Caenorhabditis elegans: one gene and its partner. The protein of the gene in region 2 interacts with the protein of the main gene of each other region in a pairwise test. Each region holds a gene or a part of one and is shown on either strand. Other genes may lie near its edges.

Region 1 (5,731 bases), on a different chromosome or scaffold from region 2:
GTTTGCTCCAAATTTTAATAAAAGTTTTGACTTTTGATTATGAACCAGTGTGTTAATTTTTTTGGAAAACGTGCTGACTTAACTTGAAAACAAAGTGGGATATAAAGAAGACATGTATTTTTTTGGTGTATTCATTACAGTTACAGCAATTGGTCGCGCATTTATAACAATATTCTTTTGCACAAAATTACTGCTAGACATATTTTGGTAGCCACTGCCCATATCAACATTTTTCCATCATTTAAAAATCTATTTTCAGGTTTAAAAAACTCAAGAAATCACATGATTTGACCCTTTTCTATTTTCGATTTTTGTTGGACATAGTATTCAGTACTATAAGTATGTGCAAAGCTTTTATTAAAAAATCATCGAAACTCTTTCAGTTATATTTTTTCTTGGTTCAATTTTGATTACTATGGCCAAATTCCAAGAGCTCTCCCATATTGTAGAAATTTCAATGTTTTTCATATTCTGGGCAAGATATATAACAGGATCTACTAGATCCATTCTGGCTCTTTTAATTGCAACTGATAGAACATGGGTTAGTTGTAAAGGATATTTACTCCGGAGTTCCCAGTAGTAACAGGTTCATTTTGGAGTGGCGCTCTCTCTTTTAGGTCTCAGTAGATCTCGCCAATCCAAAATGAAGCCGCGATTCCAAAATGAACCTATTACTACTGTTCCCCATGTCACTTGTTTTCAGTTTTTTTTTTGTATTTTTTGAAACGAAAATCTGCATTAGAAAAGTATAAATTATTCTTTCAGGCCGCGTATTTCCCTGTTTGGTTTTTCAATTATCGAAATTATATTTGAAGCAAGTTCATCATTATCATCGTCTTCATATATCCTTTCATAGATGGATCAGTGCTATTTATCTATTGTCAAAATGCCATAGAAATTTCTCCGGGATGCAAAAATGCAGCATGTGTTATGTCTGATTGTTACTTGCTTTATTGGCTGGCTTACGAAAAAGTTATTAAAGTTTTTCATGACAAGAAAAAACGAAATTATTGCAGATTGTGTACACTATAATCATCGTTTTGTCGTTGTTATTGTCTTTAAAATTATACGTCTGGAACAGGTATAAAAACGTGACAATCAGCTGGGAGATTAAAAGAGTATGTTCTTAAGCTTATGAAATTGCATAAAAAAATAAGTATTTTCAGGTAAATCGTCTTGCCTTAATTGACACATGCACAAATCTAATATTTGGATTGATACCGCCATTTCTTGTAACATATACTCGCAGCACGTTTGATCATGCAGGGCCCTTAAATACGTCACTAAAGATTTTGGGATATTCTTTAGAGTCTTATCTGGTTTCTGTGAATTTAAGAAAAAATAGAATTACAAATAACGCGCAACAGAGTGGAATGTTTGCTGATTCCAATTAGTTTGTGCAAGGCTCGAAATTGATTCTTTTTAAATCTTAAATAAAGTTTTTGAATCTCAAAAATTCGACTATCGGCGGTTTGTAGATTTTTTCAATCAACTGTTTGAAAAATTTCAATGGTAATTGTTAGGACTATTTTTGGATTATGTAGTTGAAAATTTCATAAGAAAACTCCAATGGCGTATGAAATTGTTCAAAATTATTCTTTATTTTCTCACTATCAGAAAATTTGAGCTCAGAAAGCTTGTCAAAAAGTATCGAGACCCATTTTTTGGGAATTTAATCACAGAAAGGAAAAAAAAAACATTATCAATTCATTCCCTTTTCAACGGCACTGATCCAAACATTGTCTTTGGTTCGTTTCTCGAGATAAGGCTTCAAGTTTGGTCTTTGCCACATCCGCTCCCAAAATGCCTTCAAAGCTGGAAACTTGTCCAAAATCTTTCCATCCAAAACGTGATAGATATCTAATTCTTCAAAGAGTATATAGTCGGTGTAACTAAGTTTGTTGCCAATAATAAAGTCTCCGGGGTGAATTTCAAATTGGCATTCCAATCTTTCCAAAGATTCTGGAAGGGTCTTGTTGACCATGTCTTCACGACTTCCCTCGTCAAAATAAACGTAACGAATATATTTCAAACGAACATCACGAATCGCATCAAAAAGCATATCTAGAAAAGTCGCTTCTTGTTCATTGGATCCGTTCAGCTCTGCAAATCTATTTTAACAGTTGCACACAACAAATAAACCAACTATGAACTCTTCCCAGGTGTCGCATAATTGCTCCAGCTTGCACAATTTCTTGCCCATCAACTTTATAACATGGAACTTGCCCGAACTTCATTGTTTTCTTAAGCTCTGCCCATTCGTTGCTTTGCCATGGGAAGCGAATATCTTCAAATTTGATACCATTATCAATTAGTAGAAGACGGATGTACTCCCCATATCCTGAAATAATTATCATAAATATTCCAAGCAAAAAAACAACGGCTGTCTGATTGGCTTCAAGACAACTCACGACTAAAATAATAAAATAAAAACTTACCGCGGATTGAAAAATAGTATAGTTTTGGCACTGTCATTGCCTTCTCTTAATGTTTTCTCGATCATTGCATGGGCTTTTATACGGTTTTTCTGATTGTAATTGTTTGGCCATGCGAATTTAGTTAACTTTCGCAGATTAAAAGAACGGAAACAAGTTTGGCCTGTCAAAATAAACACTCAAAGTAAATTTCAAATTTGATGTAAACAATTAGTGCAGTGGTGCGATGAAAAAACTAATGAGTTTTTGGAGATCCAAGTTCTTGTAGATTGTTCTGTTTGAGTAAATAAGTTGTTTGTGCGAACTTTTTAATGATTAACTGAAGTTTATTGCCGTTAAAAGTCCAAATACATTGAAAGTTGTGTAAATCTGAAAAAACGACCGAATTATCACAAAAAAAAGTTAAATTTTCATGTAAATTCTTTTAAGTTCTATCCGGTTAAAAACTTTTTGTGAAATGAAAATAGATGTTATGCTAAACTCTTTGTATCAAAATAAAAAGGTGACAAAAACACCGTATCTGTAACTGATTTTTCAAAAAAATTTATTTAGTTCAAACTCGAAAAAAAAACCAATTCTGATGCTACGAGATCTAATATTGCATGTTGAAAATTAAATTAAACATTATTGAGAAATTACATGTGAATTTAAACAATTATTTCCCCAAAAGCATTCCAATGAGTCCAGGTCGATACATTGGACCATAGCCACCGTAGCCTCCATACCCTCCATATGGACTGTAACCTCCATACATTCCTGGATGCCCATAGTTCTGATAGCCCCCATATGGATATCCACCATATCCACCATAAGGGTATCCACCTCCATAGTAACCGCCTAAATTTTTTACATTTTTCTGAAATAAGAAAAAAATCAAATTACCGTATTGCGCAAAAGACACAGAGAGTAAAGCTAGTAATACAAAGAAGCGGATCATGATGAACGAAATCTGTTAGATTACTAAACTAGCGGCTTATATACATGACATGGTTTATTGGTCAGTTTGACGAACAGGACGTTATCTGGTTAAGCTGCCAGAAGGAGACGATTGTTAATCATTTGACTTGTTTGTGACTTGTTGGTGTCCACCTATGTAGTTGATGATGACATACATCTGAACTTCGGATTAATATGGAAAAATTGTTACTGTCGCGGGCTAATAAGAGAGATCATGATCAACTAGATATTAGTTGGTGCTAACTGGGATGTACTGTAAAATGTTCACTATCGGGAACATTTTTCGAATTCGTTTTTTTATTGATGCGTTCACTTTCGCAGTACAAATATTAAGATTTCAACATTTCTAACTATTTCATACTACATACATAGGAAATAGAACCAATAGACAAGAAATTTGAAGAATATCACCAAAATCTACGTTGACAATGCTCTGCTGCGATTTTATAAACTTTCAGAGTGGCACCTACAATAATTCCTTCTACTGTAAATTCACAGAGGGCTATACAAAAATGAAATATCCAATGCCCGATTGTTCAGAAAAAATTATTGTTTGTTATGTCAGTTTCATAAATTTTGAAATCCCTCAAGACTAATTACTATGAAAAATATCACAACTCCCTTATATTTTATGTCAGCCTGAAAATATTACTATACAAATTGTAATATCGTATCATTTAGTATGAATGCTGAAAATCAAACTACTTTTGCATTAATACCAGTAAGTAGATCTTTGTGACTGTCTGAATAAAAAACTGAATTAAAGATAACATTCATTGGATCAGTTTTAAATTTCTCTATTTTAATTGCCATTTATAAACTTCCGGCATTGAATAACTCATTTGGATACCTCACTGCAAATCAAGCAATTGTAGATGCCCTTCATTCGGTTATTTTCTTGCTATACTTTTGCCCAATGGTCATTTTGTGAGTCAAATTATCACAAAAATTGAGGAAACATTAAATTAAGGGACCAACCAATAATGAAGAGTTACTCGTTTATCGTGGGATGTTTCCTTCTTTTCTGTTATGAACTTTCAGTTTTAACACATTTTTTGATATCTATCAATAGATTTTGCGCTGTTTGGGTACCACTCAAATACGAAAAATGGTTCAGCAGAAAGAATACATCAAGCATCATTATCCTGTTGTGGATTTTTGAAGTGGCTCTAGCAATTGTTTTTTACCAGAGTAAGTTATAAATGTCGAGGTTCATACGGAATAGGATAACCCGTCTTGAAAAAGATATACTTGCTATAATAAAGTTATCTTTTTTTTCGAGCTTACTGATGAAATTCAGAGTATAAAGCCATTTCTGAATACTTTAGCTTTGAGAAGCATACAAGACAAATATGAAAATTTAGCTAAAATTCATGCTAAAAAAAGAAAATAATAATAATAAATGTTCAATAGTTCTCTGCCACGTGGCTTACTTGGAAGAGATTCATTTTATTCAATTTACTAACACTAAATTCTGTGGCTTTGTTGCTTGGTATGATGATTTTGTGAAAAATTCTGTAATTATCGCAATAGTTGTTTGTGTGGATATTTCAACTGTTCTTCGCGTTCATCATGTAACCAAAAAGGTTTTACTTTCCTCGAAAATTTTTAACAATATAATTATTTTTCAGGTACGTGGCGACAACAAATTCACGCTTCGAGATTTGCGATTCCTGAGACAATCGGTTTTTCAAGGAACCGTATTTCTTCTAGAGTTAGTAACATATTTCTTCATCCCACAGTATTTTCACAATCAGTGGATCATTTTTCTTGGAACTTCTTTCATGTGGGTTTCAATTCATGCAATCGATGGGTGAGCTCAAAAAACAATTAAAAAACCGGGCAATTATCAATTTAAAGAATGATCGTCGTCATGTGCAACCCGGAAGTACGAAATTTTTTGATGGGTCGCAAGAATGTTTACCAAATCACTGGTCCGCAAAACACGACAGTACCTGAAAGAACACGTGAAATGAGCAACATATAATTTAATGCGTCATAACTAAATTTCAAAAACATTATTTCAAACTTTAACAATAAATGTGTCACTAATCCCGTTTGTTTTATGCTAACAGTTATTATAGTTTAATACTTCTATAGTTATTATTTCTATGCTCAGTTTCCAATACCCAAAGTTATTTTGGCATCTAACCGGTATCTAAGTAACTTAGACTATTAATTTGCTCTTCGGTGATCAACTTGAAAAACAGGAAACCAATGGTATGCATTAACTGGAAATTAGAAAACTGTATACACATAGGAATAATATTTTCGCGGTACTGCTACATTAATTTCCGTATTCGGCATTCTAGACGCACGGGAAATGAGACTAAAGTAAG
Region 2 (6,484 bases):
CTCTAGCGCCGATCGGGATTTCAGTTTTAAATACGCAGAATAGTCAGAAAAATTTTGAATGTTTGAATTACCGCGCCATGGTTTTTATCAATTTAAACGCAATTGTTCCGTTTTTCCTCGAATTTCTTAGTGAAAAAGTCCAATTTTTCATATTTTTCGTGGTATTTCGGTATTTCGGCACTTATGTGCAGTACAGCCGGCATATTTTAGAGTGAAATCCCCATCGACGCGTATCACGAGACCACAAGATTCTGAAAATGCGTATCGCGCAAAATATCTCGTAGCGAAAACTACAGTACAGTAAATACAGTAAATTCTGTAGTGCCTGTGTCGATTTACGGGCTCTATTTTCGAAATCATATTTTTTTGATTTACCGATAGAATATTAAAATTAAGCAAAAATGCCACTATTTGAACAAAAATCCATTTCAAAACTCGAGCCCGTAAATCGACACTACAGTAGTCATTTAAAGAATGACTGTAGTTTTCGCTACGAGATATTTTGCGCGTCAAATATGTTGCGCAATACGCATTCTCAGAATTTTGTGTTCCCGTAATATTTTTTTTCGGATACTTTTAAAGTTTTTGGGTGGAGTGTTTCCGTAATACACTTTTAATCAACCGGGAGCAATTCCCAAACTCACCGACTGTTCACCTCCTTCGCTGGAAGAAGCCGTGCCGTGTCATCACTGAATTTGCACAGAAAATGAAGTTCCCCAGGTCCCTTGGTGAGCCCGACAATGCATTTTAACTGCTTGCCTTCCAGTGAGAATTTGTCATTTTGATTCGTTTCCTTCTTTTCATCTTTATCCTCTTCTGGATCCGCTTGATCTTCGGAAGGTTCGGGCTTCTGGCTGTGTCGTTTGCGAATTGGTTTCTCTCTCTGTAAAAATAAAATAAGTTTGTTGCAGAAAAATCGGATTTTATGACTTTGTAATTTTAACTCTAAAAAACCTAATTTTAGTTAAAATCTTCAAGTTTACCAGCTTTTCCGTGTGAAAATAGGAGAATAATCGAACAAAAATCTAATTTAAACAGTTGCAGCACGGAAAAGTGGGCAAAATCGAAGATTTTTCAAACAATTTTCACTATGAAATTCGCTTTTTAGGACCATTTCAAGTAAAATAAACTTTAAAAAATTCTTCAAAACCTTTGAAAATTCCCTCTCAAACTCGTCCAACATCTCGACGCACTGGAGATTCTCTCTCGGCTCCCAGCTAGAGTCAGACTCGGGGAATCCTTGCCACTGTATGAGAAATTCGTCTCTGCCGGCTTTTCCAGTTCGCTTGTCCAGCACTTTTTCCACCATGAACACGTTGTCCTTCTGGAAATCAGATTTTTGAATAAAATGTGACTTTTTTTTTCTTTGTCGGGGAACTTATACTGTCGCTTTGTTTCTAGCAAAATTGGATTTTTTATGCAAAAATAGATTTTTTGTTGCAAAATTGTTTTTTTAAAATATTTTTTTTAGTGCAAAAATTGATTTATTGTTTTTTTGCAAAATGGACTGTTTTTTGGTTTTTTTTCGTTGCAAAATTGTATTTTTTAGTTTTTTTTGTTGTAAAAATAGATTTTTTGGTTTTTTCGCCGTTCCATACCGGATCTTCGATTTTTGCTCGCTTTGTTGATTTGCTCGACATTTTTGAAATTGCTGAAATAAATTTGAGCTAAAATGGGAGAAATCTGAAAAAACATAGAAAAAATATGGAATAAAGATTCGAACAATATCTTGAAATTAAAAAAAGGCTCGAACAAGAAAAAAAATCATATTTAGTTTACTCACAGACAATCACCGTACAGAAATATTTAAAAAAAAAATAAAAATTATCAATCTTTTTCAGCATCATCATCATCACTCTCAGAGTCATTTTCTCCACCTTCAAGCCCTTCCACATCCTCCATCATAATCTCCTGTTCCTCATCGCTCTTCTCCTCGGCTTCTGGAACATTTGAGTCGTTTTCAGGCTCCTCGGGCTCATCTTCGTGATCATGATGATGGTGATCGTCGCATTCGTGTGGTTTTTCATCATCGTCACTATCTTTTTCTTCTTCCTGTTTCTCGGCTTCTTGCTTCTGTTGTTGCTTCTTCCGTTTCAGGTAGGTTAGGAGCTCTGAAAATTTAAAAATTAATTTTTTTTTGCCACATTTTTCGAGCTACTATCTTGTGAATTTCGCAAGTTTTGGATTAAAAGCGCGGTTTGTTGCATGTAAATTTACGAAGGATTTTGTACTTCACCCGGACAACTGTGAGTTATTGGCTGAAATTTACTTTTTTGAACTATTTTCGCTGATTCTCTTCCAACATTCCAAATTACCAAAGAAATGAGTTTTCCAAAAAGCAGAAAAAGAGGCGGAACGTAATTTTGCAACCAATTTTGCAACCATGCGGCACGGTTTTCCTTTTTCTTTTTTGGGGTTTTTCCATAAAAGTTTCGATTTTATTCCTTTTAATTCACATTAGATTGGGAGGATATTTCAAGCTAAATTGGTTGTAAAAATATGAACTATAATCGAAATGTTATGCGAATTAAATTTGATTTTTTTCTCGTAAAAAAAAATAAAACAGGAAGAATCGAAGTTTTTTGGAAAAAAAAACCAGAAAAAAAACCAAAAAAAAAAACAGTGGAAAATTGTCGAAAAATCGTGCCGCAGAGTTGCGAAATTAGGCTCCTCCTCTCTTTCTAGTTATAATGTCTTATTATTGTCCAAAAAATGTGAAAAAAGATTCACGCTTGTCCACGTGCAGTATCCTCCGTAACATGTAAGTATCAAACTGCGCCGAAAAACCTTCCAAAACTTGCGAAAATCACGAATTAATCGTTCTATTTCAAACCTTTTGCGGTATTCATAATATTCTCAGTATTCTGCTGACATATTGGGCATTTTGACGACTTTTGGAACGATTTCAACGCACAACCGGTGCAAAAGTAGTGCTTGCATTTTGTCACGATCGGATCAACAAATGGATTTCCGCAAATAAAACAATCCTCCGGAAACGTATCGTCGCCTTCATGAATCTCGTAATTCGCATCGTCTTCAGCACCATATTTTCCTGCTTCGTACTCCTCATCAATCTCCCATCCGTGTTTATAGTCCGATCGGTCGTGCACAAATTTACACGAATCTCCAAACGTACAGAATCCAGTCTCCTTGTAATCCTTGCAAATATCCGGTGCAAAATCCCAACGGACTGTTTGTCGTAGAAATTGTGGCGCCCGAACGGGCCCAACTCGATTATAACCACTTGCAGCGTTTCCCTTGGCCGTATCCTTCGCCTCTTTGGCTCCATACAGTGCACTTCCCTTGTACAGAATTTTTCCGTCTTTCTCGACGCCTTCCTTCAGTTGCTGTTGGACTCGTTCGAATTGAGCCTGGGCATCGTGTGAATAGTCTGTGTCCACTTCGAGTGTTGCAGTGGCACCTTGATCACGTGGTCCAGATGGACCGGCATCTCCTGAAGCGGCGAACGAGTGAGTTGCTACTGCGATATCCTGATTGTCGTCAGAGTCGTCAGAATCATCCGATGAATTATCAGCACGTCGTGTTGAGGCGTCTAGTTGTTTGGTCTGAATTTCAAAGTTTATTGGGATTTTCCAAAATTTTGGAGCACTAAAGTACCAAGATCTCACCGACTGGACCATCGGATTCGTACGACGTCGCTTTTGAATCACATCCTTCACTTCTGAATCTTGATCCTCATCACTTGAGCTTTCCTTTTTACGAACGACGGGTGCATTGCGCTTTTTCGGTTTTCGGAAGAGATCCATTATCTGAAAAATTAAAACTATTTATTAAATTCAATTAATTAATAAAGCTTCAAATCTGACAAACGAGAAATACAATAAAACGGTTCAACATTATGAGAGGAAGATGAATCAAACAATAGAGCTCTACAGCCGAAATTTTTGGCGCCATGGAAATCATTTTTCAAATTGTCTCCAATGTGCAAGATTTCCGAGGGAGAAATTAGATCGAAATGGTTGACAACTAGCTGGAAGATCTTCTCATCGGGCTTTTCGTACCCAATTTCGCCGGAGAGAACTGTCATGGAGAAAAGATCGAGTAAATTGAATTGAGAAAGTAGAGATTTCAAGCGACTATCGAAATTGGAGATGACAACCAGGATGATTCCTTTCAGGCGAAGTTTTTGCAGAGTTTGGCGCGTCTAAAATGAAAAATTGCAGTATTTTTTTTTCAACAATTCACAAAATTTACATCGCTTTCAACTAGTTTCCACGGCTCAGGAGTTGCATAGTGATTGTACAAAGCTCCAGCGATCACTTCAACCCGTCCTTTTTCAGAATCCGGAGCACACTGAAACTATCAAGTAGGGGACTTGCCTAATTCAGATTACACCTACATCCAAAAGCGTAGAAGAAACTACTTCAATCCACCAACTTTTGTTTCCAATTCCATTGAACCCAAAGCAGGGCGATGCGATGCTCATTCGTTTATAATTTTTAAGAAAGCTTCCCATGATTTGATCGGAGTCGACTTCCAAATCATATTGCCTCGCGAAACGGGAATAAACTATCGGTGGAGACTCTTTCATCGTGATTAGTGTATCACGAGCATCTAGGGAGAGAACTTTCACGACTGGAGGGGTGGAAAGGTTACGAGAAGTTGTACGGAGCAGGTTGGAGAGCATTGAGCTAAATATGGAAATCTAGAGTTTTTTTTAGATTTCCAAAGAAAAGGTTAGTGTGTTGATTGAAAATTTTCCTCCAAATTGGCCGAAAACAATATTTTAACGACGGAAATACTGCATTTTAACTATTTAAATGACGATTTCGTAGAAAATAATATTGGAAGTATCGGAAATCGATTTTTCGAATTCAAACATCAGGAATTTTTGAGAAGTTTTTCGAGATGCATAGGGATAACACTAGGCTTCTTAAAAGAAAAAAGGTTTTTGCATCCGAATTTCAGAGATATTTCTGTAGAAAAAAAAGAGTTCAATTTACTGTTCAAACTCTCCAAATAACGATTTCTCAGCCAAAATCAATTAATTTCCAACACCTGATTTTGAACAGAATAACAATTTTTGAACAATTTAAAAGAAATCTTATCACAAAATTCGTTCATTTTGGCTTGCTTCGAGTATTTAGAAGGAAAAACTAGAGATTTCCTTGACTCCACTTGTTTCATCGATTAGGAATACTTTATCTAAAGATATTTTTTATATTTAAACCTATTTCTTTATTTAAAATCCAAAATCGCAAGAAATCCCTCATAAATTCGTCAAAAACAAAAATAAACTAAAAAAACACTTTTAAAAAATCGATAAAATTCGAAAGACCCGCGTGCGGCACGGAAAAAGTGGGCGGAGTGCGCCGAACGCAAACCACTCGCACACTTCTCATACACTCCGCCACAACACGCTCCACCGGAGTGTGTGACACAGCGCGCCAACTTGAAAATGGCCGAGAGAGTGTCTCGTGCTCAGGTCATGCGCGGCCTAGTTTTACCATGTGATTTTGACGCCAATTCAAATGATCACATTTCCTCGTGCTTTGCAGCGCTCCTTCTCCTCGTCCAAACCCGTCGAACTCGTGCTTTTCTCATCGCAAAACTGCTCGCTGTGCGTACATTTTCACAGACAACTCAAAAACTATCTTAAAAAGCATCCCGGGATTGTTGTCGTCGAGAAAAATCTCGCCCAAGAATCGCCAGAGCTAATTGAAGTGAGACTTTCTTCTACGTCTACGTTTTTTTTGTTTTGTATTCTATTTTCTCATTTAATAAAAATATAAATACAGAAAATTTAAAAATAGGTAGTTTAAATTCCTAATTTTCAGAAATTCAAATACGACATTCCCGTCCTGGTGGCCGGAGATAATAAAATCCTTCTGAAACATCGATTCAGTGGAGTTCTACTCGAAGAAAACCTCAAAAAATGAGCAACTGCGAGATAATCGCGGTGCACGGAGGTTTGCGCACACTAATTATCGATTTTTTGCGGCAAAATTTAAATCTTGCAGGTGCGTGTGCTAAATTCGACGCAAGTCTTGCCGAGGACTGCCGTTTTGCGTGTGGTACAGGCACTGTTGAGAATGCGTTGACGGTGAGGAATTCTTTTTTGGTTTTCTCACGAAATATATTTAATTTTTTTTGCAGGATCTTGAAAGAATAGAAAAGTTCAACTGTGGATTCGGCTCACATTTGACTATCGATCAAGAAGTTGAATGTGAAGCATCATATATGTCATCCAAAAATTTAAGGTTTCCCTAAAAACCATACATTTCTCCCTTACCGATTATTTTCAAATTCAGTTTCGGCGCGGTCGGCGCGATTTCCAACGTTTTCCATCCGTCCCGAGTGGCACGTCACCTTGCACATAGCAATTGGTGGAAGCAGCGACGTCTTCTTCATCCCCTTATTCTTGTTGGTCGTGGAGCAGAGAAATATGCTGTTAAAAATGGTAAATTTCTGAATTTTGAATTTTAAATCTCGAAAAATCATTGGATTTTCAGATTTTCCAACG

The links. The genes of interacting proteins can lie anywhere in the genome.
Region 1: the proteins of rnf-113 (region 2) and gst-41 interact in a two-hybrid assay, tested with the Caenorhabditis elegans proteins (one large-scale study listed by BioGRID).

The regions. Positions count from the first base shown.
Region 1 is NC_003283.11:7,396,814-7,402,544, forward strand, and holds gst-41 (glutathione transferase), read right to left. Parts: upstream 2,490-5,731; 5' UTR 2,476-2,489; coding exon 2,439-2,475; intron 2,342-2,438; coding exon 2,147-2,341; intron 2,104-2,146; coding exon 1,703-2,103; 3' UTR 1,583-1,702; downstream 1-1,582. Other genes in the region: cnc-9 (CaeNaCin (Caenorhabditis bacteriocin)), read right to left, coding at 3,091-3,272, 3,318-3,372; srx-60 (G-protein coupled receptors family 1 profile domain-containing protein), read left to right, coding at 4,075-4,113, 4,159-4,319, 4,363-4,583, 4,806-4,978, 5,024-5,205, 5,253-5,379.
Region 2 is NC_003281.10:10,753,871-10,760,354, forward strand, and holds rnf-113 (putative E3 ubiquitin-protein ligase rnf113), read right to left. Parts: upstream 3,771-6,484; 5' UTR 3,768-3,770; coding exon 3,630-3,767; intron 3,567-3,629; coding exon 2,834-3,566; intron 2,112-2,833; coding exon 1,828-2,111; 3' UTR 1,754-1,827; downstream 1-1,753. Other genes in the region: Chromobox protein homolog hpl-2, read right to left, coding at 645-883, 1,151-1,324, 1,599-1,640; K01G5.10 (Haloacid dehalogenase-like hydrolase domain-containing protein 3), read right to left, coding at 3,806-4,165, 4,216-4,314, 4,361-4,648; tasp-1 (TASPase homolog), read left to right, coding at 5,897-5,930, 5,982-6,064, 6,118-6,221, 6,273-6,421, 6,474-6,484. UniProt on the Caenorhabditis elegans protein: May function as E3 ubiquitin-protein ligase that catalyzes the transfer of ubiquitin onto target proteins.